7 linked regions of the Canis lupus familiaris genome follow. The main gene of each other region encodes a partner of the protein of the gene in region 7 in a complex. Links are inferred from orthologs where the notes say so. Each region holds a gene or a part of one and is shown on either strand. Other genes may lie near its edges. The genes, in order: TCTE1, CCDC153, DRC1, IQCG, DRC7, FBXL13 and DRC3.

Region 1 (4,220 bases), on a different chromosome or scaffold from region 7:
GGGTGACTTCGTTGTTTCCTGGGAGGTGGCACTGAGTGGAGGGTATCTGAGGGAACAGTGCCCCAGACTGAGGGCACAGCCAGTGCAGGGGCCCTCTGGGGGAGGTGAGCCGGTGCAGTGAGTGGTAAGTGGCAGGTGATGGGGTCTGGAGAGCACAGGGGCCAGAGCCACCCAACTCTTTAAGACAAAGTGCAGGGCACGGGCCCCAAGCCTGAGCTGAAGCTGAGAAGTGGCAGCTCAGAGTGGGAGGAAGCCGAGAGCCAAAGGAACCCTCCTTCCCTAACAGGATGGATGCACTCAGGACCAAGCCAGACTCGGGAGCTCCACCTCTGTTCCCAGCTCTCTGTTGCTAGAGGAGGGAAAGGATCTCAGGAGATCCATCTCCAAGTTAAAGGCTCCCTGGTGACCAAGTTCCGGGGCCGTTTAGTTAAAATTATAAGTGTAAAGCACGGCTTCCCACATGATTTCTCATTCTAATTGCAACAGTTAAAGGGTTTGCGAGGGACCAGTCCCCACCGGAATGGGATGCCGGGGATTCCTTCTCGCTCAGCCCTGTGGGCTTGCAAAGCTGTACCTCCGGATCTCGGCCACTGCCACAGTGGCCACCTCTCAGTGACGCTCACTGGAAGCCCAGCTCTTTACTTTGGACACAGGGTGAGGAGTTGCGGTGACGTTTTACGATGAGTTATCCGAGCTTCTAAGATGTTAACTTACCCATGGCAACAGACTAGTAACTGGGAGAGCTGAAGGTAAAGCTAAACTGCCTCCATGTGAAACGTCCTACCATCCTGGTCACCTCTCCCCTCCTGAAGGACAGTTCTTATTAGCCAACCCCCCAGGTTGGTCCTTCCTGCCCGTCAGGAGCACCACATCCTGCCGCCCAGAGCTAAGGGGGACGGGGGGGGGGGGGGGGGGGTGACATAACGTTTAGTGCTGTGTGAAGGAGCGCTGTGGAGACCTGGAAACTTCCTGCCTGGTGCCTGACATCAGCCTTGTTCACATCCTGGAGAAAGGTGGAAGGTACCACACTGCAAGGATGCTGCAGCCCACAGCTCTCCTGCAAGGCTCGGGGCAACAGTAGGCCCCAGAGGAGATCCGGTAACCCCTGCAGGTGCCCTTCCACCTCCTCACCTTCCAGAAGAAACTGCGGATGCTTTTCCTTTGTCCATTCGTCACCGCGCACCCCGGTTCCACACAGAAGGTACCAAGAAGGAACAGCACTCCAGTCCGGAGCCCTGCCCCAGGCCCTACTCCTCCCCCTCCCCCAGAAAAGCCCATCTATTCCCAAGCGCGCTCCCCAGAACCTCGGAGCACGGCCCCCTTTCCCCCCACCCCGCCCCGCCCCTCCCCTCCCGGTTCCCAGGACCCACCCAGCGGCTCGCCGCGGAGGCCCGAGCGCACGCGGATGTAGGCGCGCACATGCGCACCCGCCCTCGGACCCGCCCCCTGGCGACGCGGGGCGTCCCTAACGACCGGCGCGGCTGCGCGGTGGGCCTGCAGGAAGGGGAGCGTCCGGCCTCGAGAGTGGGTGAGGTGAGCCCGGGAAGACAGCTCAAGCCCGGGCCTCCCTTATGGGGCTGAACTCCCCCTGCCCCCGCTCCCGCCTGGCTGAGATTGGCTTGGCTCTGAGCCCCGTCTGTCCCCACAGGAGACTCCCCACCCCACCCATTTGAGGCGGGACCCTTGCTTCTCCGCTAAGGTCACTGCATATTGGCCCAGAGGTTTAAGGTCTGCCAGTAAAGGGGTGCGGGGTTGGGGGGGGGGACACCACGAGAAGGAGGAAGGAGAGTGTGGGGCATCGGGTAGGTCGTGGAGGAGAGCAGTCCTGAGCCCCGGAGGAGCCGCAGGCTTCTCAGAAAGACGGACTCCCATTCCCAGCTCCTGCAGGCTGCAGTCCCTCCTACAGGTCCAGAAGCTTCAGTACCTCCCTTCCTCCCTCCCTCCCACAGCACGGCTGGTTTCCCTTGGTTACTAAGGAGCCGCAAGGGCCTCCTCACCCCTGGCAAGTTGGGGGAGGGACTCGCTGGCCTTTGGAGCTGAGCTTCCCTGCAGGAGTGTCTGAGCCCAAGGCAGGAGTAAGGGGTGAGGAATGAATACTCTGGAGCCCTTTTTAAGACAACAGACCCAAGTGGTCAGGAGTTGGGAGAAGGGCCAAGCCCAGGGGTGTGATAAGTGTGCCATCTCACTGGGGCCAATCACCAAGCATGCTGGGCCCAGGCTCCATCACAGAACTTTGCTGTCCTTCTTTTGTGATTTCACAAACTAAGAATTCCCAAGTGGGAATTTGGGAGGCATATGGCCGGAGGTAGGGTCTGATGGAGGCATGAAAGAGATCAGGAAAGTAAGACAAAAGCCCAGGGCCCCTGAGGACAGATGCCCAGGGAGGGGTCTCCTCTGGGATCCTAAAGTGAAGGAGAAGCTGGCTGAGAAGTCAGAGGAAGCACAGAGGGAGAAGTGGGTAGAGGATATAACCCATCTAGCCGAGCCAGCCCAGAAGGTAGTGTCCAAGGGGCACAGAGATGCTTCGGCTCCTCAGTTAAGAGGAAGGCAGGTAAAAAAAAAAAAAAAAAAGAGGAAGGCAGGTGAGAATGAGGACCAGGGATGTGATGAGCAGGAAGGGGAGAGAGTTCTCCCCCAGCCTCTTCAACTTTCCCCTTCAGGCAGTGGGGAGAACCGTCTGGCTACAGTGGTTAGATTTAACTGGAGACTTGAGAAGAATAGAGAAGGTTTGAGACGTCCGAGAGGAGGGAATGTGCTAGAGATTCAGGCACTGAGTCCCAGGTCTATGAGCAATATCAAGGGCCCAATGTGAGCCATGGAGCAGGAAAGTGCAGCTCTACAGAATGTTCTTGGGTCCCTAGAGGCCTCATGCTGAAGGATTCAGGCGACGGTCCAGTTCTGTGGAAGGGCCTCATGTCTGGCAGTGACTTAGGGGGTGAGGGAGTCTGGGCTGTTTAGGCCAGCATCTAAAGGGTTACCCCAGGCTTCACACTGGTGACAGGATGAGAAGCGCCCATGAGCTGCAGAAAATAGGAGGCCCGCTGGAAAAGTGCCATGAACAACTGAATCTGGACAGTTTAGGAAGCAATCCCAACAGCTTATTATTTCTATGCTTTTGTGCATGGAAGTGACAGAGAGCTTTGAATGGGTATCAGCTGAAACTTTAGGTCTCCCACTTACTAGCTATGTGATGCTTAGCAAGCTACTTATGCTTTCTAAGCTTGTTTCCCCATTTGTGCAATGGAGATAATAGTGTCATAATAGCAGGAATAGTCCTCAATTGAAGGAAGATTGAATGAACATACCTAGGTAAGTCATGTCACATCTTCATCACAAATCTAACACATATTTTGAAGGGTGGCTCTGGGCCCAGCATGACATGAATCCTCTTACACACATCAGCTCCTTTAAAATCTTCTGGATAATCTTAGGAAGTAGACACTACTAATTTCTACCCCCATTTTACAGATAAAGAAATGGAGGCTTAGTAGGGTGAAATGACTTCCCCAAGGCCTCACAGATGCTCCGGGGTAGAGTGGAGATTGGCCTTAATGCAGTATAATTCCTAAGTCCTTACCAGCTGCCTCCTGCTGTGCAAATGCTTTGAGAGCCTAAAACTCCATAAATCATAGCTGTGTATAGGCAAGATATGGTTCCCAGGACACTTGTCCAGCAGATGCAAGCCATCAAAAACAAGGCCAAGCTGGCCGAACTAGGGCATGTTGTCACTTAATATTACCTGTGCTTGGGCACATAGAGAATAGACTTTTACACCCAACCCTTTGAGTTATGGCCTGAATGTGATTTTAGGACCCTGGGCCCTGGTCCTAAGGACACAGAACAGAGAGCTGGTTGGGAGAGGATTGACCTTTCTACAGGGATTGTGGTCCTGTGTGGGGTTAGGCTGGATGATGGCTGGAGACACAGCATTGTAAAGCCCAACAGGCCTGTGAAACCTGTGCCAGGAAATGAAAGGTCACAGGACATGTCCCCACCTTCCCCATCCTAGAGTAAGCTGTGCATTTCAATAGGGGCACCAGGTGGTGGCACAAGAAGTGATCACTCCCCATGGCCCTGACTTTCTCTCTGGAATATGAGAAAAGAGAAGGATCAGAGTGTTCAACACACTTTCAGTCTTCATACTCTGGGATTCTCTGTCTACCCCATAGGTTCCCTAGGGAGAAAAGCTCCAAAGAGGAAAGTGGGTGCCATTTCTGGAG
Region 2 (2,374 bases), about 27 Mb from region 7:
ACCAGAAGTAAAGTAGTATTGGGAATGTTGTAAAATAGAAGAGCAACACAGTGTTCCCTTTATAGGTGGGCTATGGGATTGGCTAGGATTGAAGCCATCTGGAACTTGCCTTAGGCATGACTCCTGGACTCCCCCCATATATTGCAAGAGTTTGGAGACCAGTTACACCTTCTCTCTGTCAGCACCTTAGGATTGTGGGGGCTGGTGCCTGGTCACTGCTGGTCTATTAAAGAAATGGCCTTGCCCCCACAAATCTGGCTACCTGTGTTGGTGCCGGGGAGGGGTGTGGGTAGTGGGAGTAGGGGATGGTGATTTGAAAGGACCCAAAGGGCCCAAGATTCAAGGCATGGGGCCCAGTTTCTCTAAGAGAGGAGTTGAGAGTTTGTCAAATGTCAAATTTCTATCCTCTCATTCAATCTTCAGAGTAATGGGTCCGCCAGAACCAACATGCCCTCAAAGAGATATTTGTATCTGTCAAAAAGGCACAGACCACAGTTCTGTGGAGTTCTACATCAAGACAGCTTTATTGCTGGAGCCTCTCAGAGGCCCAGAGACTAGAAGCTTACAGCTTTATTTTATTTTATTATTTTATTTTTTTAATGTTTTATTTATTTATTCATGAGAGACACAGGGAGAGAGAGAGACAGAGAGAGGCGGAGACACAGGCAGAGGGAGAAGCAGGCTCCATGCAGGGAGCCTGACATGGGACTTGATCCCGGGTTTCCAGGATCAGGCCCTGGGCTGAAGGCGGCACTAAACCGCTGAGCCACCCGGGCTGCCCCGAAGCTTACAGCTTTAGAGATCCAGGGGGTTGAGTCCAAATTGGTGGAGCTGCTCCTTGTACTTGGCGTGAAGTCTCAGCACAGCCCCATCCCACTGAGGCCTGACTGCTCTCAGCTTGGCTAAGAGTTGGTCCAGGTTGCCCTGTGGACACCAAGCTTCAGGCTCCAGGAAGGGAGAGAGGGTAGAGCAAGGGTTTCCCTGGGCTGGTCTGCGAGCTTTCCTCCTAGCATCTTCTTCAGGTTCTTACTCTTACTAAGTAAGTGTGGTTGCGTGCCTTGGCTGTCTGCCCTCGGGGCAGAGCAGGGTTCTCTGTGGAGATGCTTCTCCTCCCCCCTGGTCTCCCATTGATGACAATGATAGTATGAACTAGTTGGGGTTCAGGGGAATGGGGGAGTCCTAGCTACTGGGGTGGTAGGGCTTCCAGAGGTGGTGGTGCTTACATGTAAGATTTCCTCGTACTTGGCCTCCATGTCCACTACATGGGCCCGAAGCTGAGCCAGAGTCTGGTCCCGCTCTCCGAGGGCCCGTTCAGCCTCTTGCTGCGCAGCCTCAGCTTCCCTCTGGCACGTCTCTGCAGGGCAGGGCGGGAGGAGGAAGGGGACTGGGTAGTGACATTCTACTTGTGAACAGAGTCTCCAAAGACACCTCAAAAGCAGAACTTGAATGGGATCATTCCAGACTCCCCCCCCCAGGATCATCAATTTTCCCATAGTTCGTATAAAGATCTGACATATACCATTGAGGTACAGCAGAGAGAGCAGTAGGCTTGGGATGAGAAATGTGCGTCCAAAGTCTGGTTGTCACTTACTACCTGTGTAACTTTGGGTACATCTCTCTCTGAGACTCAGTTTCTTCATCTTTAAAGAGAGATTGATACAAACCTTACAGACTTATTGTGAGTTAAATGTGAGAGTGTATGGGGAAAAATACCTAGTATGTACAGGAGGTGCTCCATAAATGCTGATCGAATTTAAATTTGAAATAAGGCAAGGATTATGAAAGGAATTCAGGGTCCGCATGGCAGATAAGCAACTCTTGGGTATCTGTAGCTAAGCTGAGGCTATTTTAGGGGCCCCTGGCTGACTCTTGGTCTCAGGGTCATGAGTTTGAGCCCCATATTGGGTGTGGCGCCTAGTAAAAAGAAAGAAAGAAAGAAAGAAACTGAGGCTATTTTAGGTTAAGGAAACTCTGAGGTCACAATTGTGAAAGATCTTATGTGTCGTGCTAAGATAGTTCAACTTTATCCTGTAACCAAGAGAGAAAGGAAAAACTTCCTGTCCTTTACATTTTTGCTTCTCTAAAAGGTTTATTCTTTGATTTAGCAAGTAATTATGTAGGGCTTGGCATGCCCAAGGCATTGAGGATATGAAAATAAATAAGTCAAATATCTTTTCTTAGTTTGCATTGTAAACATCAGCTAAGAGGGAATATGTTTTGAGACGCCTGGGTGGCTCAGCAGTTGAGCATCTACCTTTGGCCCAGGGTGTGATCCTGGAGTCCCGGGATTGAGTTCCACATCAGGCTCCCCATATAGTGACTGCCCCCCTCTCTCTGTGTCTCTCATGCATGAATAAATAAATAAAATCTTTAA
Region 3 (4,091 bases), on a different chromosome or scaffold from region 7:
CAAATGCCTAATGGACATCTTGGTTTTAAAGTCTTCCAAAATCCAATTTCACTGAATATGTCCAAAGCCAAACTCTTGATTTCCAAATCCTCCTGACTCACTTCCCCCATCACCATCTTTATCATTTCAATGCAAGGCACTACCATCTACTCAGCTGTTCAAGCCATTCTTGCTTTTTCCCTGTCTTTGACTAGCATATCTAAAATCAGTAAATCCAGTCAGTTTAAGCTGTAAAGCATTTCTTGACTACATCTGCTTTCTCTCCAAACCCACCAGACCAACTTCATCCCTCACAGAACCAATGCAACTGCTTCCTAACTGTCCTCTTCAATTATACTTCTGGCTTCTGCAAACCAATCCCTCAGACAGCAATCAGAGTGATCTTAACATACTTAGAAATTTGAGAAATTCCCACATTAAGTTGTTGGTGAGTGGGTAAGAGTTATCATGGGAGGGAAGGCCAAGTGGACATCTTTAAAACTGTACCTGAATACATAAAAACAATCACAAAGTGGGGGCTAGGGAGTGGGGATGGTGGAAATTAGTATCACCCTTAAGGATCTCAAGGATACAGGAGTGGTGGTCCCCCCCCCCCCCCATCATGTTTCCATTTAGTTCACGGGTCTGGTCCCTGCAAAAACTGGTTGCATCTGAGAATATGATTATCAATACTGCAAGCTCAACCAAGTAGTAGGCCTCATTGCTGTTGCCATGTAAATGTGGTATCTTTGCTGGAGCAGTGTAGAGTGGTCTTATGTACATACAAGGTGGCTGCTGATTGGGTCAAATGTATTATTTTCTACCTAAATCAGGAAAAAGAATCAGAAGTTCACATTTACATGGAACAGACAATAATATATACACATATAATTCTCACACTCACAGCGTCATGTTGATTCTCCTGATCTCTGTCAAAACATAGACTGAATAAATCAGGACCATTTGGATACCCCAGAGAACATCACGTTGATCCACTACATCAAGATTGACCTGAGAGCTAGATATGACCCATCTGTTTTTGTAGGGCTCATAAGAAAAGAATGATTTTTACACTTTTTAATGATTAAAAAAAAAAAAGGAACAGATCAATAGGAAGAGCACAAAGGATTTTTAAGGCAATGAAACTATTCCATATGATACTATAATGGTGGACACATATCACTATATATTTGTCAAAATCCATAGAACACCAAGAGTGAATCATAATGTAAACTATGAACTTAGGGTGATGATGTGTCAATGGAGTTTCATCATTTGTTTTGTTTTGTTTTTTTTTTAAGATTTTATTTATTTATTCATGGGAGACAGAGGGAGAGAGGCAGAGACACAGGCAGAGGGAGAAGCAGGCTCCATGCAGGGAGCCCGACGGGAGACTCAATCCCGGGTCTCCAGGATCATGCCCCGGGTCGAAGTCAGTGCCAAACTGCTGAGCCACCCAGGCTGCCCGAGTTTCATCATTTGTAACAAATGTACCATTCTGGAGGATGTTGATAGTGGGACAGGCTGTGTATGCATGGGGGCAGGTGGTATATGGGAAATCTCTGTACTTTCCACTCAATTTCGCTGTGAATCTAAAATTTCTCTTAAAAAATGAATTCAGAAAAGAAGATCAAAATCTGAAGAAAATTTTGTGACACATGAACATTATATGACATTCAAATTTCAACGTCTTTAAGTGAAGTTTTTTTTTTTTTTAATTTACTTATGATAGTCACACACAGAGAGAGAGAGGCTCAGAGACATAGGCAGAGGGAGAAGCAGGCTCCATGCACCGGGAGCCCGACGTGGGATTCGATCTCGGGTCTCCAAGATCACACCCTGGGCCAAAGGCAGGCGCTAAACCACTGTGCCACCCAGGGATCCCTTAAAGTGAAGTTTTATTGGAACACAGCCATACCACTCTGTGATCTAATGGCCAGCAAACAAGAAGTCACCATCTTGGTAGGATAGGTGACCCTGGCTAGCAGGACAGGGTACAAGTGCTCTTACACAGTGAGGGTGTTCAGGAATTCAGAAGATCATGCAGGTGCCTCTTAGAATCCTCTTGTGACAGCCCACTGTGCCTATGAGTAGACAGGTGCAACAACCCTGTCCTGAGAAGGGTATGATTATCAGGCACAGACCCTTCAGGAATGAGGGTTTGTGTCATACAACCAGATAAGCTACTGAGACCAGCAGAAGTGACAGCTGAGGTCCACTCCAGAAATGCTTGTGGAAGGCAGGCAGGTGGGGATGGGAAGGAGGAAAGAAAGACCTCTGAGAGGAGGTCACGGATGGCCTGTGTCTGCAGTCCATTGCTCGCAGTGCATGGCACAGCAGGCTTTCAATAAATTTTTAAAAACTTCCTGCTGCAGAGACTATTATTTCCGTCTTTGACTCCACAAGTGTATTGAATGTGTTCATATCCCATACTTTGGTTGAACCTTCCGGAAGAAGTTTTTCCTAGCTCACCGCCTATCTTTGCGCTCACACGTGGGCCCCGCCCGCCCCGGGAAGGCGCCCGCCTGGTCCCCGCCTCCGCTGCCGACCGCCCGGACCCCCGCTCACCGCCTCCGGGCTTCCAGTCGCGCCGCGATGCGGAGGCGCCGGGCCTGGATCCGCTCCTGAGGGTTGTCAGAGTATATGGACGGCCCGAGAATCGGGGTGGACAAGTCTTCCTCCTCCTTCTCCTCCAGAACCCCCAGAGATCCCGGCGGATTCATGGCAGGTGCCTCCCGCCCCAGGCCCGCGGCGCCTGGACCACCGCCGGACCACGGCCCCGTTGCTAGCAACAAGTCGTCGCCAGGGAAAAGCAGGCACCTGACCCGCAGCTGGAGCGCGCGCGAACAGCTCCCAGGCCACGCCCACCTGAGGCTGCACGCCCCCCTGGGTTCTGTATTCTTCTCCCGGAGAGAGAACGGGACTTAGGCTCTACCTTAGTGGGGTGAAAATTACATCAGTTTCGTTCAGCACTGTACAAATAGCGCCGAGCATAATGCCTAATATGTAGTAAGTGCTCAACTAGTGTTTGCTGAAAGAAGTGTACACAGATGTATATGTATGCTCGCTGTAGTTATTTATAATGTTAAAACACTAGTGTGACCCTGAAATCCATCAATAGGGAACTGATAGGAACGCCTGGGTGGCTCCGTGGTTGAGCATGCCTTTGGCTCAGATCGTGATCCCGCGGTCCTGGGATCCAACCCCACATCAGGTTCCTCGCAGAGAGCCTGCTTCTCCCTCTGCCTGTGTTTCTGCCTCTCTTCTGTGTCTCTCATGAATAAATAAAATCTTTTTTAAAAAAATGGGATTGATAAAGCTTTCACGGGATGGATAACAATGTAGCTACTAAGAATGGGTCTGACCTACAAAGACCTAAAGATGTATGAAATGAGGAAGAAAGGATGTAACACAAATGTGTAGAATGTGATCCAAGTTCTATTTGAAATATATCTAGTACATATGGTCAAAAAATGAGCACAAAGTAAGGCCAAAGAAGTTACTGCCTGTGTTCTCTTCTAGGAGCTTTATGGTTTCAGATCTCATATTTAGAGAGATGTTCCCCAACATCGTTTGAAAAGACTTTTTTCTCATTGATATTCTTTCCCGCTTTGTTGAAGATTGACCATATAGTTGTGTGAGTTCATTTCTGGATTTTCTATCCTGTTCCACTGACCTATGTGTCTGTTTTTGTGCCAGTACCATACTGTTTTGATCAGCTTTTAATTATAACTTGTAAGTCTGGAATTGTGATGCCTCCAGTTTTGCTTTTCCTTTGCAAGGTGGCTTTGGCTATTTGGGGTCTTTTGTAGTTCCATACAAATTTTAGGATTGTTCTAGTTCTGGAAAAATGCTGTTGGTATTTTGAAAGGGATAGCAATAAATGTGTAGATTGCTGTGGGTAATACAGACATTTAATTATTTGTTCTTTCAACCCATGAGCATGTAATGTCTTTCCATTTCTTTGTTTCATCTTCTATTTCTTTCATCAGTGTTTTAAAGTTTTCAGAGTACAGATCTTTTACATCTTCGGTTAGGCTTATTCCTAGGTGTCTTATTGGTTTTGGTACAACTATAAATGAGATTGAATCCTTTCTGCTGCTTCATCATTG
Region 4 (4,174 bases), on a different chromosome or scaffold from region 7:
GTCTTTACACACGTTATTCCTTCTATTTGGACCACTCTTCCCCTCACTCTTCATCTTGTAAAGTCCCACTGGTCCATCAGGTACCAGCCTAAATCAGTGGCATTTTGCTAGGTATCTGTCATTTCTAAATCTAATCTTCACCATTTCTTATACCCCAAGAGACTGACCCATATGGGGCACATCAACAGGAGGTTCCATAAATGTAGGAGAGTGAGATCAAGTGTTTATCCTCCCAGTTCCCTCCCTGCCAAATCATCATTGGTTGGGCTAAGTTTCTCTGTCAAAGGCCATGGCACCAGTCAGGCAATATTCTCTACGTTGCTCTTGCTTGGGGGCTTGGGTAACTATTTCTGCCCTACGTCCCTGGAGACTATGTCATCCCTTAGAATTTCACTCTTGCCTACAGTTTTGTACACAGATCCTTTATGAAATTCTGAACTCTATCATTGTTTCCATCCAGGGCAACACTGACTGATGCAATGACCTATATACACAGATTTTTATATACACTGTGCACACACAGACATATACTTAAGTATGCATACAGGCAAATAACTGAAACAAGTTTCATATACCAATTTACGTTTAACATGTGCCATATTCTGGGATCCCTGGGTGGCGCAGCGGTTTGGCGCCTGCCTTTGGCCCAGGGCGCGATCCTGGAGACCTGGGATCGAATCCCACATCGGGCTCCCGGTGCATGGAGCCTGCTTCTCCCTCTGCCTATGTCCCTGCCTCTCTCTCTCTCTCTCTGTGACTATCATAAATAAATAAAAATTAAAAAAACAAAAAAAAGAAAAAAAACATGTGCCATATTCTGATACTTTTGATTCTATCATATATTTTGCCTAAAAAGTATTATAATTACAATCTACTACTGGGCCTACACCTGCAATTTGAAAAATGCCTTAAAGGACATTTCTGCGGGTGACACTTTCCCTCATTCATCAGGCTGGATCAGGAGTCCTCTGGTCAATCACTGCACTTTTATTTTCCTACAGAGCTCTCTTCACAATTTGTAATGTTACTGTTTTGCCCCCACTAGGCTTTTAAGTGTCATGAAAGCAGGAACGTGATAGTGATGCTCACTGTTATATCCTGTTTCAAGCACTGTGCTCAAGAAGTATTTGTAGAACAAATGAATGAACAAAGGAACGAAACTCACCTTTAAGGTTTTATTCCTCTCAGGACTACTTAACATTTGGATTTCTAGTACATTTAATAGTGAGATTTTTAGTATATTTCTGGGACAGAGAAAACTGGATAGAGGGAGTGGATCGTAAGGTACCTACACTCTATCCTGATGTATTTTTTTAAAAGATTTATTTATTTATTTATTTATTTATTTATTTATTTATTTATTTATTTATTTATTTATTAATGATAGATATATATATAGAGAGAGAGGCAGAGACACAAGAGGAGGGAGAAGCAGGCTCCATGCCGGGAGCCTGACGTGGGACTCGATCCCGGGACTCCAGGATTGCGCCCTGGGCCAAAGGCAGGCGCTAAACTGCTGAGCCACCCAGGGATCCCCTATCCTGATGTATTTAAGAGAGGACCTTAAATATGATTTATAGATATCTCATAAAGCTTTGGGGTCATCCTTTACTCTTCTCTCCCATTCCTTACCCATCAGCAAATCCTATCAGCGTTACATTTAAAATATATTCAGAAGTCCAGTACTTATCACCCCTGTCTGCAAGCCATGATCTTATCATGATCATTGCAAGAGCCTCCTAATGGATCTCCGCGCTGTTCTTGCTTCCCTTCCATCTCAACAGAATGACCCTATTAAAATGGAAGTCAGATTGAGTCTCCCCTCCATACAGAACTGCTCAAATTGGTTTCTCATCTCAGAGTAAAAGCCTTCTTTTCTTCATTTTTAAAATTATATATATATTTTTAAAGCCTTCTTTACAGTGGCATCCTGGCTTCATTCTTTTTTTCTCCATAGAGAACATTTTTCTCATGTTACCTGCTCATGTGCCATATATTGTGCTTGCTTAGAGTCTCACTTCCCTTCCTAGGACAGGTCTGTAAGCTCAAGAGGGCAGAGAATTCCGTGGTTTCGTTTCCTGCAGGGTCCTCCGAGCCAAGACCAGAGCTCGGTACATAGTAGTCGTTCAATAAACTGCTGAAACAAATGAATGAACCCGGAGGGAAACCCAAATAAACCTGCAACGGTCAGACGCCCACTAGCCTATCTTCCCGTCACCTGCCAGGATTTGCTAGAGACCCACTTCGCGCAGGCGCGGTGCTTGGGCGCCCCACAGCTACCCGTGCAGCTGCTCTTTAAAAGGCGGCAATACTCACTCTGGAGTCCAAACGAAGGATTGCAGGTTAGGAACTTGGAGGACGTTTCTGCAAAGAGATAAAGAGAGGAGGAGGAGGAAAGGGGTGAGGTGGGGGGGTGCGTAAAGAGAAGAGCTCCTCCTGCCCTCGTGCTCCTGCCCTTTCTCTTCCGCGCTAGGACCCGAGAGTCTCCATCCTCCCTACTCCTAGTAAGAGAGAAAGATGCTCCCACGTGAGCGAATCCAGTCTGGGGTCCCCGAGGCGGGGCGGCAGCCTGCACCGGGCTGCAGGAACCAAGCCCTGCTGTTTCTATGGCAACGCGAAGCTCCGGGGACCTTTCCTCGTCCTCCTTTAGCTGGCTATCCTCTTGCCTCCCTCTGTTTCAAATACCACATATATTACAACTCTCAAAGATAAAAGCACTCAGAGAAAGACCTGTAAGAGTGCTCTCGAATGTAGACGTTTCTTTCAGTCAAAGACAACAGCTGAGGCTTTTTCTTTTTTTTCTTTTTTTTTTTTTTTTTGGGCGGTTGCGTTAGACGCCTAAACCGGGGGGGGCGGGGCGGAGAGGTGTTTATCCCACAAGGCCACGCGCGCGGCGGGGCCTCGCCTCTCTCTTTCCGCCATCTTGGAGCCTGTGGAGGTGAGGAGAGCCGCCGCTCCTGAACTTTGGGGGCCGATTAAGTGCGGTGAGACGAGCCCTGTGCTTCGGCGGGGCGCCGGTGCGGCTCGGAGGCTGTGTCAGCGAGCGAGCGCCGTGGATTCCAGCGGCGGGGAGGCCAGGATGGCGGAGATGCGGGGCCGATGGTGCTGGTGCCCGGACTCCCGGAGAACCGGCGCTCCCGTCATCGCCGTTGCTGCTTGGGCCTTAGCGGAGGGATAAAGGCCGTTCGCCCGTTTTGAGGCAGTGGCTCCCTTAGGATGAGCCCTTTTTATATTTTATTTTATCTTATTTTATTTTATTTTATTTTATTTTATTTTTCCGTCAAGACGCTCCCACTCCAGACCTGGTTATGTCTACGAGCTCCCCTTCCTCAGCCTTGCTTTTCCCATTCAGTGCTTCCGCCTCTGTTTTGTGTGCTTCTCCGATTCCTCGCTTTTCTTTCCTCCCCCACCCCCCCCCTTCCTACCCGGCGTGGTCTGAGTCCGCTCGGGGCATCCTTTCGGCGTCTCCAGGAGCTGTTTCCTTGACTACGAAGCCCGTCCTGCCCGAGGTGTCTCCCACCGGAGAGACTTCCTGTCAGATGCCGAGCGCTACCGAGAGCGGACTGGGCGGGAAACGTGCTTTTGCAAGATTTTAAACTGGTTCTTTTTGTTTTAAGGCCTGCTGGGACCAGGACTCCTAAAGCGACGACTATGTCTGGAAGGTACAGACTTTATGATTTTTTTTTTTTTTTTTGCATCTGTAAAAAAAAAAAAATCAAACGTTTGCTGTAAACTTGGGGAGGGGGGATTAGATGTTCGCTGCAGGTGACTTTTGAGTAGAGCTCGTTACAGGTGAGCTCTTCCAGTGAAACCAGATCTTTGCACGACTTATGGTCACTCTGTATTTTGTCTCAGGCTTTGGTCCAAGGCCATTTTTGCCGGCTATAAACGGGGTCTCCGGAACCAGAGGGAGCACACAGCTCTACTTAAGATCGAAGGTGTTTATGCTCGAGATGAAACTGAGTTCTATCTCGGCAAGCGATGTGCTTATGTCTACAAAGCAAAGAAGTAAGTTCATAGTGTTAATGCCTCTTGCATTTTTTAGTTGAGATTTGTCGCATTTTCCTATTCAAAGGAGAAGAATCAAAAGATGTTGGCAAAGCAGTTGGTACTTTTGTGTTTCGTACTTTGAATCTTTTTTTTTTTTTTTTTTTTGAAGATGTTACTTATTTAT
Region 5 (3,500 bases), on a different chromosome or scaffold from region 7:
CTGCCGCCGATGGCTCCCCAGGGCCCCGTGGGTCCTCAGCCGGGCCACCTCAGCCCTGATGCTGCGGCATTTCTTCTCTTCCCGCACAGGGTTCTATTTGCTCACCTCCAGAGATAGGGAGCTCACCACCTCGCCAGGCGCCCTGCTTTATCACTACACATCCCTTCCTGCTGGGAAGAGCTCCTTGGGTAGACAGCCATTAGCCACAGCTGCCAGGTCATTTGCAGGGATGTGGAGGGAAAAGGGCCGATTCAATGTGAGGTGAGCGATACAGGGGTCCTACCTTCGCTCACACACACATCTCAAATAGGTTAGAAAAGACTCCCAAGAACCAAGCCTATGGACACTGGCACAGTAGTATCTGAGAGCCACCGTTCTAGTGTGCACGTATGGCACAGTGGCAGGGGGCACAATCTCTCCCGCTTTATAACCAGGAGGTGCCCCCTCCTGAAGGTGTGGCTCCAGCGCTGCCGCAGAGAGCGGGCGCCCTGTGCCTGCCCCAACGACAGCTCACCACCACTGGCCGCGGGTTTGACTCTGCGCTGTTCAGAGCCAACTTCTTCACCCTGGGCCCAAAATCCACGTGGCGGTAGGAGAGGAAGTCAGACCGTCCTCGGTAGTGCTCCGTCATCGAGCTGGGCGTCTCCTCCCGCTTTACCAGGCCGTCCACACGGGCTGTCTCGTAGAACTCCATGACCCGGTCCATCTCGGGTTGCATAGACACGTACGAGTGCGCTGTGGTGGGAGGCGGGGGCCGGGAAGGCAGCGGGGTGAGACCAGGAGCGCTGGCCCCTGGCTTGAGAACCCGGGCCCGGGCCCCAGGGAGAAGGCATGTCCATGGATGCTCGCGGATGAGCAGGACTTATGGAACCAATGCCCCACTGCTGGGTGTTCAGGTTGTTTCTCACCTTTTTGTCATTAGAAACAACACCAGGGTGAACATTCTTTAGTTCTTGCCCAGTATTTGCTCAGGACAAATTCTCAGAGGTAGCACAGCTGGTCGAAAAGCGTATGTATTTTAAAGCTATTATTATTTTGCCCAACTACTTTCTCGAAAAGTTGAGCCAGTTTGCTGTCCTATGAGCAGTGACAGGGAGCAACTCTCTGCTGCTTTGCTTACACACCGGTAGGACCATTTTGTCATCTTCGCAACATGAGGTTTGTAAAACGGCTCCTTCCTTCCTTCCTTCCTTCCTTCCTTCCTTCCTTCCTTCCTTCCTTCCTTCCTTCCTTCCTTCCTTCCTTCCTTTTTCTTTCATTTCAGCCATCAAGTGAGTTTGATCATTTTTAAAGGATATATAATGACACTAGGCTTTTCTTCTCTGTGTCCTTGGTTAGGGCTGTTGATTCTTTCAAGACACATCCTTCCCTCACTTCCCTGCCTCTTGGGCTCATGACCACACCCCTGCCCTCCGCATCGCCCTTGTGGGGGCATTTGTTAGTTTTGTTGCTCTGTGTCCTGACCCCTTAGAAAGGTGGCCTTCAGCATGTGCCTAGCCCTAAGCACAGAATGGGCATGTGGCCCTGGTTTTGACTTTCCTGGAGGGACATTTGTCACATCTTCTGCACTTCCCCTGGCCTCGTGCACATCTGGTTTGCTTAGGGAGGCAGGGGTGGGGGCTTATGTTGCTTGTCATACCCTGGGCTCCCACTGGGACCGACAGCGGGTTCCACTCACCACGCAGAGCCTGGGGATGGCCTGGCTTGAAGTAGTCGATATTCAGACCTGTGCTCTTGTTGATGTGTTTTAGCTCTAGCATATCCTCCCGGTTCTGGTACCACTCCTTTATCTCCAAAGTCTTGGTACCTGCAGGGCACGATCAGTACTTGCCACAGCCAGGCTGGCTCCCCCAGCCTCTGTCCCACCCTTCCCGGCACACAGGTCAGCGGGGGCCCACACGCACAACAAGTGCCTGGCAGGGACGTGCCCAAGGTCACATAGCCCACTGGGGAACCCAGCTCTCCTGCCCTCGCGGCCGGGGCTGCCCGCCTTACACTCCAAGTCCTCGTAGGTGGTGAGGCGGCACACGAGGCCATTGTTGTTGAGATATGGGGCCCACTTCTCCAGCTTGGCCCTCTTGTACTGGATCACCTTCTTCCCACTGGGGCAGCGGGTCTCGAACGCTGCAGACACAGAGTGGGCTGGGGTCCCGCCTCCCCAGATTGGGGCACTAGAGGGCCAACCCCACTCAGCCACTCATCTGGTCACTGTGCTAAACTCCTCCAGGCCCCAAGCCCACTCCAGGGAGACAGAGGGAAGTAGTCACCAGGGTAGCTCCTGCCCTGGAGGAGTTCTCAGCTTTGAGCCTGACCACGGGAGCTGTGCCCTACCACACCACTCACTCGCTGCTGGGCCTCTGCCTGTGCAGGTCTCTCTGCGGGAATCACCATCCCCTCCTGCCCTTACTGGGCTGGCTTCTGATCCCTTAAAACCCTGCTCAGACTCCTCCTCCTCTTGGAAGCCCTTCCTGCCCACCTTCTCCCAGTCCCCAAGCGGGCAGCTGGGCTGGGAACTCCTCCCCTGGTTCCCATGATGCCCTCTCTAGCCCTTCCCACTGTTGGAATACCCTATGCCCTCCGTGTGGGTCTAGGCCTCCCAGACAGGAACCTCAACAGCCAGTAGATGTTGGCGTGGCTCACAAGTGGCCCTTCCCTGCTGCTTTCTCTGCCTACTCCTCCCTGGGGAGCTGCTCCTCCCTGGTCCTGATGCCTCTGCTCCCCTCTGCCATCTGGGTACTATGCTGTTTGGCCTCCTCCTGGCAGGGGGGTGGGGGAGGGCAACAACCACGTCCTGGTCCTCCGTCCTTTATTTTTTTATTATTTATTTTTAAAAATATTTTATTTATTTATTCATGAGAGACACAGACTGAGAGAGAGAGAGAGAGAGAGAGAGAGAGAGGCAGAGACACAGGCAGAGGGAGAAGCAGACTCCATGCAGGGAACCTGATGTGGGACTTGATCCCGGGACTCCAGGATCACACCCTGGACCGAAGGCAGGTGCCAAACCGCTGAGCCACCCAGGGATCCCTCTCCTCCGTCCTTTATTATCCACACTCCATCACCTAGCACAGGTTAACCTGGCACCCCTCCCTTCCTCCCCCGTACACCAGACTGGTGTCAGGCCCCCAGCCACAGAGCTGAGTGCATGTGGCGGGAAGTAGATAGAACAGAGACACTGTTCAGAGCAGGGTGCATCAGGGCACAGCAGAAGGCAGGAGAGGTGGAAATGAGGGGCTGGGGCAGCCTTCACTGGCTCCCCCACTAACTGGTCCTGGGGAGGCAAGGAACACAAATGTGCATGTACCTTCTGGGGAGATCTCAATCTGCTCCACCCATGAGGGTGGCATGTCGAAACTCTTATCCTCATCCTCCTTGCCCTGTTGGGAGAGGTGGGGAGGGGGCAGGCTCTGGTCAGGGCTGGGCCTTGGAGCGGAAGCTAGAGGCAGAGCCTCTGTCTTGCCCCCCCCAGGGCCAAGCCACAGTGGCTGCTAGCTCCCCCA
Region 6 (3,500 bases), on a different chromosome or scaffold from region 7:
ACAGGCTTCCAGTTATGGAATGAATAAGTCATGAGAATAAAAGGCACAGCATAGGAATACAGTTAATGATATTGTAATAATGGTGTAAAGGGACAGATGGTAGCTATATACAGATAGTGAGCACAGCATAAAGTATAAATTTGTCAAATCACTAAGTTGTACACCTGAAACTAATGTAACACTGTGTGTCAACTATACTCAAATTAATAAAGAAAAAAAGAATAGATGGCAAAGAAACTAAAAATTCAATGATAAGTATAATAACCTAATTTAAGTCATCAGAACCAAAACTGACCCTTTTAGAAAACTGAATATGTAGAAGGCATATTTGAAAAGTTCCTTTGAAATGCAGAAGGGTAAAGAATTAAAAATAAATGAGATAAAAAATGAAGAACCAGGATTCAGTCTTTAAATAAAGAGGATTCTTGAGAGATATAACAATAAATAAAGCAATAATCAGAGACATATAAAAGCCTTTAAAATAGCAAAAGAGGGCAGCTCCGGTGGCTCAGTGGTTTAGCGCCGCCTTCAGCCCAGAGTGTGATCCTGGAGACGAGGGATCGAGTCCCACGTCGGGCTCCCTGCATGGAGCCTGCTTCTCCCTCTGCCTGTGTCTCTGCCTCTCTCTCTCACTCTGTATCTCTCATGAGTAAATAAAATAAAATCTTTAAAAAAATAAAAAATAAAAAAATAAAATAGCAAAACATACTCCATACATTAAAAAAGAAAAAGTAAATAAAAACAAAAGGTAAAAAGTACAAATAGTAGAGACATAGAACACAAAGAAGTCCTAATATATTAGTTTTATAATAATTTATAATAATATAAATAAGTTGAAAATATCTCCTATTAAAAGATGAGATTGTCAAATTGGTTTAACAAATAACTCTAAATTATAAGTAGTCTATGAGAAACACATTTAAAATAAAATGACAATACAACAAAATAAATTGCAGGGGTGCCTGAGTGGCTCAGTTGGTTAAGCATCATGACCCTGGGGTCCTGGGATCAAGACCCAAGTTGGACTCCCTGCCCAGTGGGTCTTATTTCTCCCTCTCCCTTGCTCCTGTCCCCTGTTCATGCTCTCTTAAATAAATAAATAAATAAATAAATAAATAAATAAATAAATAAATAATTTTTAAAATTTGCAAAGATGTATATATAATTTTATATTATAATCCAGGAGGCATCAAAAGTCAATAGAAAAGGATTATTCAGTTAATGTTCCCAGTTAATTGGTTAATGTAGTTAGTCCCAAATCTGGCTGTTCATCAAAAGCATCTGTGTTGTTTAAAAAAAAAAAAAATACAGGGGATCCCTGGGTGGTTCAGCGGTTTGGCGCCTACCTTTGGCCCAGGGCGTGATCCTGGAGTTCCAGGATGGAGTCCCGCGTTGGGCTCCCGGCATGGAGCCTGCTTCTCCCTCTACCTGTGTCTCTGCCTCTCTCTCTCTCTCTCTCTCTATGTCTATCATAAATAAATAAATAAATAAATAAATAAATAAATAAATAAATAAATCTTTTTTTTAAAAAAAGACTATCCTTTAAAAAAAAAATACAGAATCTGGGATTCCATTCCTAAATATTCAAATTCAGTAGCTCTAGGGTAGGGTTTAGGTGTTTGTAGTTTTATTCAGCTCCTCCAGTGATTCTGATACCCTGGAATTTTTACTTTTAAAACATGTATATGTTTTTAATTTACCTTTTCATTACTGGTTTTTAATTTAATAGCATTGTAGTAAGAGAAATAGAGTTTGTTGATACCTATAATTTAAAAGTTGTTGAAACTTGTTTTAAAACTTCATGCATAGTCCATTTTAAAAAGGACTGATGTGTGTTGAGGGAAATGTATATTCTCTGACTCTCAAAGTTACTGTTTAAGCTTATCTCTTATAGATGAGTTTTTTAAAATCTAATCTGAAACTTTTATACTAAACTTTCTCTGTCTTTTTATCCTACGATATACTCTTTCATATTTTATTTTTTATCTTTTTTTTTTTTTTTTTTTTTTTTACTCTGCTATCATGAAAGGAATTATCTTCCATCTCTGTACTTTTCTCCTCAGTGAGTTCTAATCTGCTATCTGGAAATCCATTGAGTTTATTTCAATAACTCTTATATTTTGTATTTTTTAAAGTTGTTTTTTTCTAAAAAAAATATTTTATCATATTTTGTTGCCTGCTAATGTTTCTGATTTCATTAATTTCTTCAGATATTTCATACACATTTGCTTAATATCCTATGCCTGATAACTCCAATATCTGAATTATTTGAAGGTCAAATTTATTTTGCTGTTTCTGGTGACTCTTTTTCATGGTGTCTCATGTCTTCATACATAACAATTTTTAATTGTGAGCAGCTATATTTTATTCTTAATCTGAGGAATCCTAGAGGCCTAAATAGAAAATGCTCTCCTCCGGGGAAGCATTGAATTAACTTCTTGCAGGAGCCTAGGCAATGGTGACATAAACATCTATGCTCAGAGCAGCAATACCTTTTATGTTTGTTTGCTATTCATTATTCATCTCAGAGTATGTTTGTTGAGAGGCTGGTGCAGAATCAGGATATTAGATATTAGAGCTTTCTCTTACTCTTTGTGGGTTCAGCAATGTATTTAAAGTATGTTTCATCAAGGATATAAATTGTGGCAAAGGGTCGTTTGAAATGTTTTGTCAACTATGGAAGTAGAAAACCTCCATTTATTTTTTTTTAAGATTTTATTTATTTATTCATGAGAGACACAGAGAGCGAGAGAGGCAGAGACACAGGCAGAGGGAGAAGCAGGCTCCATGCAGGGAGCCCGATGTGGGACTCGATCCTGGGTCTCCAGGACCATGCTCTGGGCCGAAAGCAGGCACCAAACCACTGAGCCACCCAGGGATCCCCACCTCCATTTATTTTTAAAGTAGTTAATCTGTAGAAACTTGAGTGAAATATGAGGCTGAAATTCAACTTTTATTTTATTAAGAATTTGTCATCTGTTCATCTGTTAGGGAATCCACACGAGGAAAAATCTAACCAGTACTCAAGAGGAAACCCTTCAGTAAGATTGATTCCTCCTAAGCAGCTAACAAAGCCCATTTGGGAAAAGGCCTGTTAACTGAACTAGCCATGAGAACCCTCACTAGGAAAAGTAGCCCTTAAGTGTTCCTGGGAATTCATTTAATCTTTTAAGGGCCCATGATTCCACATGGGTGCCCCTTCTTGGTGTTGCCACAGATTTTCATGTTTACTGACCAGTGAGCATCTTGAGGAGAGGGTCTTGCACATTCTAGATAATTAATATTTCTTGAATATATAACTGAGTGACTCATTACCTTATACAATTTGCCAAATTCAACACAGTTAGTTGCTTCAAAGGTGAAAGCGACATAAGGCTACCATCTGTTATTCTCTTGCAGTCTACCATGTAAATGTGATTGATGTTTGGATAATTCTTGTGTATATATTTGAAGCATGCATCAGTAATCCTTTTATTTCCTGTTTTAAAACAAACAAACAG
Region 7 (4,134 bases):
GGCTGACCTTGGGCTGCTGTTCCTGGCTGGACAGAGCCACAGCCCTGGGAAGCCTGAGCACCCCTGACCTCATTCTCATCATTACCAGCCTAAGAGTGAGAGCATCCAGAAGGGCTGGACCCTGCAGGAAGTCGCACTCTTTTGGAAGCTCCCAGGTTCAGCCCTTCCTTCTTTCCTCCTGTTTCTTGCCACCATTCCCCCTCCCCCCACTGGCTTCACCATCTACCTTTGCCCTCCTGGTCCCCCACCCAGGCCTCTTCCCTGATGCTGGGGAGTCCCTGAATTATCCCACTGAACACCACTGGAGGGACAGCTGGTGTTGGGTTGATGGTGTCCACTGCAAACTGGGGTGGCCTGGCAATCCTGCCACCTGGTCTTAGAGGCTGCCACTGCCCTCCTTGCCCGCCATCCACTTGGACGCAGCTTATATAAACCTGCATCTTCCATTTCTGGGCTGTCTGTGATCTAATGGCCTTGTGCGTTTAACTATTGTGAGTCTCTTCCTTCTGCCCCTGAGGAGACACAGCCTCCTTGGACCCTGCTCCTGGCCCCAAGCGCTCCCCCCCACGCCCCTTCTCACCTGGGCCCTCCATCCTCCCACCCTCTCCAGTCTCAACATTGGCTCCAACTTCTTAGAGGGAATGAGTCAACTCCCAAAGACGTTTCCAGCCGCCCCTCCCCCCCATCTCCCCACTCTTTTAAAACAATCTTTTTTCTCTAAGATTTCCCATAACCTGACAAGGTTGGTTGACACCAACTTGCCTTTGGGGAAATTTTAACGTGCGGTATTTGGCAGATGTTACCTGCGAAGTGTTTGTGCTTTCTCAAAGAAAAGTGCGGTGCTTTGGGAAATGCTTCTTAATTCCGATTTCAAAACTGTAACTGACTTCTCATCACTCCCACTTCATCGGGGCCTGGCACCTGGGACAGATCAGGCTTGCTTCTGTCAAGCCCACAATCACTATTCAATGTGGAAGAGTCGTTAGGCATGCTTTTTGTTAAGCACACGAGGGTAGGATTTGGAGCCTGGGTGGGCATCCTCTGACAACGAACCTCACCTTTCTGAGCCCTTGACTTACTGTCTGTAAAAATGGATAAGTCCTCCCTCCTACATTTGTTTAAGATCATTTATTCAGCCCACACACGTGTAATGAATAGCTACTACGTGTCGGGAATAAAACAGACCTCCTCCCCTCTGCAGACGTGAATCAGATCATTGTACAAATATTTAATTACAAACCATGACAAGTTTGTAGATGTAGGGAACTGGGACATCATATGTGAGGGGTGCCTGGCCTGGCAAGGGGAGACAGGGCTGAGATCTGAAGGGTGAGTAGGAAAGATGGAAGAGTGAAGGGCACAGCCAGGGCCCTGAGGTGGAGTGCACGAGCCATGTTCCATTTGGGCTGCAGTGAAGCACGGCTGGAGGGGCCTGCAGGATCTTAACACCTTCGGATTCCTGGGAAGCTCCTGGGGCTTAATTAATAAGGGCAGTGACGTGAACAGCTTTCACTTTTAAGAGGCTCACTCTGGCTGTCGTACTGAGAACAGCAAGAGTCATGAGCAGGGTAGTGGTAAGATGTGGCTGTGAGAGATCTCGAGGATTTTAATATGTAGGACTAATCATTGGCAGTTTCCAGATGAGGTTAGGAAGGTTAAGTAAGATACCAATTTCATACATCGATACGGCATATGGCAGAAGCAGGGAGATGTGATTCCAGAGCCCATTTTCTTAACCATGACACAACCGTATGCAGGGCACTGTGGATTTTCATTATCACAACCCACGAGGTTTCTCACAGCTATTCCCAGGCAGGGCCAAGGCCCCACCGCTCCTCCACTAAGGGACTTTTTGTCAATAATTTACCACCCAACCTGGGTTCCTGATGACTTGCCTGACAACAGTGTTGGGGAAGCCCAGAGGTAGCGGTTGGGGAAAGCAGTGGAGGGCTCTACACCACTGCCAATAGAGCAGACTCCTCACCGAGAAACAAAACCAGGACAGCCCTGTGAAACAAGAACTTGTGATCAATTGAATCAGAAAAACATTGCCCCTGCTGGCAGTGGATTACTTAGAGAAAATCAACGATTTACTGAGTGCTTGCTGGGTACTAAGTACAATTTCATTACTTAATTCCATGTCGGCTCTGGAAGTCACTGGAGAAAGGGGTGCTAGTTCCCCCATTTCCCAGAGAGAGAAACTGAGGCCCGGGAGGGGAAGGAAATTGTCCAAAGTCGGACAATGAGCTACTGAGAAGAGACAGGCATGAAACTTGGGTAGCTATATCCCAAAACAAAATACTTTATGGAGCACCAGGTGAAGAATACAAAGAACAGAAACAATTTTATGACAGTCAAGAGGTCGGATCTGAGGGTTAAATACGTGAGGAGCTCATCAGTGGACCGGGTACCTCTGTTTCGATAAAAGGGACCAGGCCAGGAGGCCCGGGGGCGTCCTTATTATTTCCTTCTCATCCAAAGCCCGAAAGCCCAGGGTCCCGGCGCAGCCGTGAAGCGGCTGGCAGAGAACTGTGTGCTCATCTACAGGTGAGGAGGGCCGGGTCGATTCCCAGAGAAAAAGGCCGGAGGAAAGAGCTAAGTCCGCCCCTGCTAGTCCTCCCGCAGCCTCCGCTCCAAGGTCTCACCGTCTCAAGCGCCTGCCACCCGACTGCTTCCACGCAAGCCGACGCTTCGCCCGGTTACTAAGGGAACCAAGCTCCGCCAGTCGGTTGCTAAGGGGAAGTCGTCGAGTAGACATCCTGGGTGAAAGTTGACGGTCACGTGACAGTATTTCTTGGGCGGGGAAATACTCTTACGACCAACCCGCAGTAGAAAAAACAAACGTTTCTCCAATCAGCACTGTCTATGGGCAGGGATATCAGTAGTCCCGCCTCTCCCCCGCCCCCACTTGAGTGATTGACTCGTCTCCTGGCCAGTAATGTAAGGATTCGCTAGATTGACCAATATATAGATGAATCACAACACTCAGACTCTCGTTCGGAGGCGGGCCTTTGGAGGCGCCGCTACGCCTGATGGAGATTCCTGTGACCTAGCTCGCCGCTCCGCCCAATCGTCTGCCGCGGGGTAGGCGGGGCTTCGCAAGGGAGGCGTAAGGGCCAATCCGGAGAAGGGCTAGACAGACGCTGCCCAATGGGGACGCGACAAGGGGTGGGGTCAGGGGCCGGGCGTTCGGCGTTCGGAGGGTGGGGCGGGGGCAAGTGTCAGTCAGGTCGGGAGCGCGACCGGGGACAGCGGGGACCCGGGCGGCTGACAGGGGGGCCCGGGCCGCTGCCGTGCTGTCCGCTCAAGATGGAGTTCCTCCTGGGGAACCCGTTCAGCACCCCGGTGGGGCAGTGCCTCGGTAAGGCCGCGCGAAGGGTGGGCCATCTGGGTGGGCGACGGCGGCGGCTGACGGGGCTGGTGAGGACCGCGGGCCTCTGCCGGGCACCGGTGCCACCCCGCGGGCCGCCCGGGCATCCTTGCCGTCGGGCCTCTGCTCGCGGCGCCTGTGTCACCCTGGCGGGAGGCGCCCCAAAGGCCAGCGTGGACTCGGAGATGCTCCGTGCGGCCCTCCCGGATTCGGGCCCAGCCTCTCCCGGCTCAGAGAGGGGGTGCGGGCTGCTGGGGTCGGCTTGCCTCCTCGCCTGCTGGGGATGCCACCGAGTGCGTCCGCGTCCAGGCTGACGGTCTCGCAGCCACTGCCGCCAGGACCCAGGGCTCCCGCACCCTTCTCCCTCCATCCTTGTCCGTCTCCTCAGTACCAGCAGCCCTCAGACCGGGCACCCTCCCAGAGAATACTCCCTGCTCAGAGACTTGCTAATTAGAGCTGCAGCTCAGCGAGGCTGTAGGAGGGACTGGGATGGGGGGAAGGGTTCCCCGAGGGTGATTATTTTGGCAGGGGGACGGCATCCCTGCACTGCCTCGGGGAGAGAAGGGAGGCTGTGTGTTTTAACGATAAGAGCCCTGGACTGGGAATCAGGAAGCCGGGGATCCAGTAGGGGCTTCGCCAGTGACTCTCCCTGTATGACCTTGTGCAAGTCACTGCTCTTTCCGGTTTGATGTTTTCCCTGTCTGTCAAATGACCTGTGTGTGTGTGGAGGTGAAGTGTGGTAGGTCCCTTCAAGTTCTAAAGTT

The links.
Region 1: DRC3 (region 7) and TCTE1 share a complex: the UniProt entries of both Homo sapiens proteins name them as parts of the nexin-dynein regulatory complex. The link is inferred for Canis lupus familiaris from reciprocal best matches to the Homo sapiens genes DRC3 and DRC5.
Region 2: DRC3 (region 7) and CCDC153 share a complex: the UniProt entries of both Homo sapiens proteins name them as parts of the nexin-dynein regulatory complex. The link is inferred for Canis lupus familiaris from reciprocal best matches to the Homo sapiens genes DRC3 and DRC12.
Region 3: DRC3 (region 7) and DRC1 share a complex: the UniProt entries of both Homo sapiens proteins name them as parts of the nexin-dynein regulatory complex. The link is inferred for Canis lupus familiaris from reciprocal best matches to the Homo sapiens genes DRC3 and DRC1.
Region 4: DRC3 (region 7) and IQCG share a complex: the UniProt entries of both Homo sapiens proteins name them as parts of the nexin-dynein regulatory complex. The link is inferred for Canis lupus familiaris from reciprocal best matches to the Homo sapiens genes DRC3 and DRC9.
Region 5: DRC3 (region 7) and DRC7 share a complex: the UniProt entries of both Homo sapiens proteins name them as parts of the nexin-dynein regulatory complex. The link is inferred for Canis lupus familiaris from reciprocal best matches to the Homo sapiens genes DRC3 and DRC7.
Region 6: DRC3 (region 7) and FBXL13 share a complex: the UniProt entries of both Homo sapiens proteins name them as parts of the nexin-dynein regulatory complex. The link is inferred for Canis lupus familiaris from reciprocal best matches to the Homo sapiens genes DRC3 and FBXL13.

Annotation. Positions count from the first base shown.
Region 1 is NC_049233.1:12,894,819-12,899,038, reverse strand, and holds the start of TCTE1 (dynein regulatory complex subunit 5), read left to right. Parts: upstream 1-1,420; 5' UTR 1,421-1,533; intron 1,534-1,968; exon of another isoform or gene 1,969-2,082; intron 2,083-2,595; exon of another isoform or gene 2,596-3,309; intron 3,310-4,220. UniProt on the Homo sapiens protein: Component of the nexin-dynein regulatory complex (N-DRC) a key regulator of ciliary/flagellar motility which maintains the alignment and integrity of the distal axoneme and regulates microtubule sliding in motile axonemes.
Region 2 is NC_049226.1:14,710,436-14,712,809, reverse strand, and holds the end of CCDC153 (coiled-coil domain-containing protein 153), read right to left. Parts: exon of another isoform or gene 1,368-2,374; intron 1,355-1,367; coding exon 1,224-1,354; intron 925-1,223; coding exon 796-924; 3' UTR 501-795; downstream 1-500. UniProt on the Homo sapiens protein: Component of the nexin-dynein regulatory complex (N-DRC), a key regulator of ciliary/flagellar motility which maintains the alignment and integrity of the distal axoneme and regulates microtubule sliding in motile axonemes.
Region 3 is NC_049238.1:20,544,127-20,548,217, reverse strand, and holds the start of DRC1 (dynein regulatory complex protein 1), read right to left. Parts: upstream 2,801-4,091; 5' UTR 2,703-2,800; coding exon 2,548-2,702; intron 1-2,547. UniProt on the Homo sapiens protein: Component of the nexin-dynein regulatory complex (N-DRC) a key regulator of ciliary/flagellar motility which maintains the alignment and integrity of the distal axoneme and regulates microtubule sliding in motile axonemes.
Region 4 is NC_049254.1:29,439,350-29,443,523, reverse strand, and holds the start of IQCG (dynein regulatory complex protein 9), read right to left. Parts: upstream 2,801-4,174; 5' UTR 2,731-2,800; intron 2,628-2,730; exon of another isoform or gene 2,365-2,627; 5' UTR 2,317-2,364; intron 2,135-2,316; exon of another isoform or gene 1,979-2,134; intron 1-1,978. Other genes in the region: RPL35A (60S ribosomal protein L35a), read left to right, coding at 3,652-3,662, 3,856-4,008. UniProt on the Homo sapiens protein: Component of the nexin-dynein regulatory complex (N-DRC), a key regulator of ciliary/flagellar motility which maintains the alignment and integrity of the distal axoneme and regulates microtubule sliding in motile axonemes.
Region 5 is NC_049223.1:58,032,853-58,036,352, forward strand, and holds part of DRC7 (dynein regulatory complex subunit 7), read right to left. Parts: intron 3,378-3,500; coding exon 3,305-3,377; intron 2,125-3,304; coding exon 1,996-2,124; intron 1,808-1,995; coding exon 1,679-1,807; intron 736-1,678; coding exon 515-735; intron 1-514. UniProt on the Homo sapiens protein: Component of the nexin-dynein regulatory complex (N-DRC) a key regulator of ciliary/flagellar motility which maintains the alignment and integrity of the distal axoneme and regulates microtubule sliding in motile axonemes.
Region 6 is NC_049239.1:17,435,173-17,438,672, reverse strand, and holds part of FBXL13 (dynein regulatory complex subunit 6), read right to left. Parts: intron 3,479-3,500; coding exon 3,316-3,478; intron 1-3,315. UniProt on the Homo sapiens protein: Substrate-recognition component of the SCF (SKP1-CUL1-F-box protein)-type E3 ubiquitin ligase complex.
Region 7 is NC_049226.1:41,745,246-41,749,379, forward strand, and holds the start of DRC3 (dynein regulatory complex subunit 3), read right to left. Parts: upstream 2,801-4,134; 5' UTR 2,646-2,800; intron 2,008-2,645; exon of another isoform or gene 1,896-2,007; intron 940-1,895; exon of another isoform or gene 804-939; intron 1-803. Other genes in the region: TOM1L2 (TOM1-like protein 2), read left to right, coding at 3,310-3,361. UniProt on the Homo sapiens protein: Component of the nexin-dynein regulatory complex (N-DRC) a key regulator of ciliary/flagellar motility which maintains the alignment and integrity of the distal axoneme and regulates microtubule sliding in motile axonemes.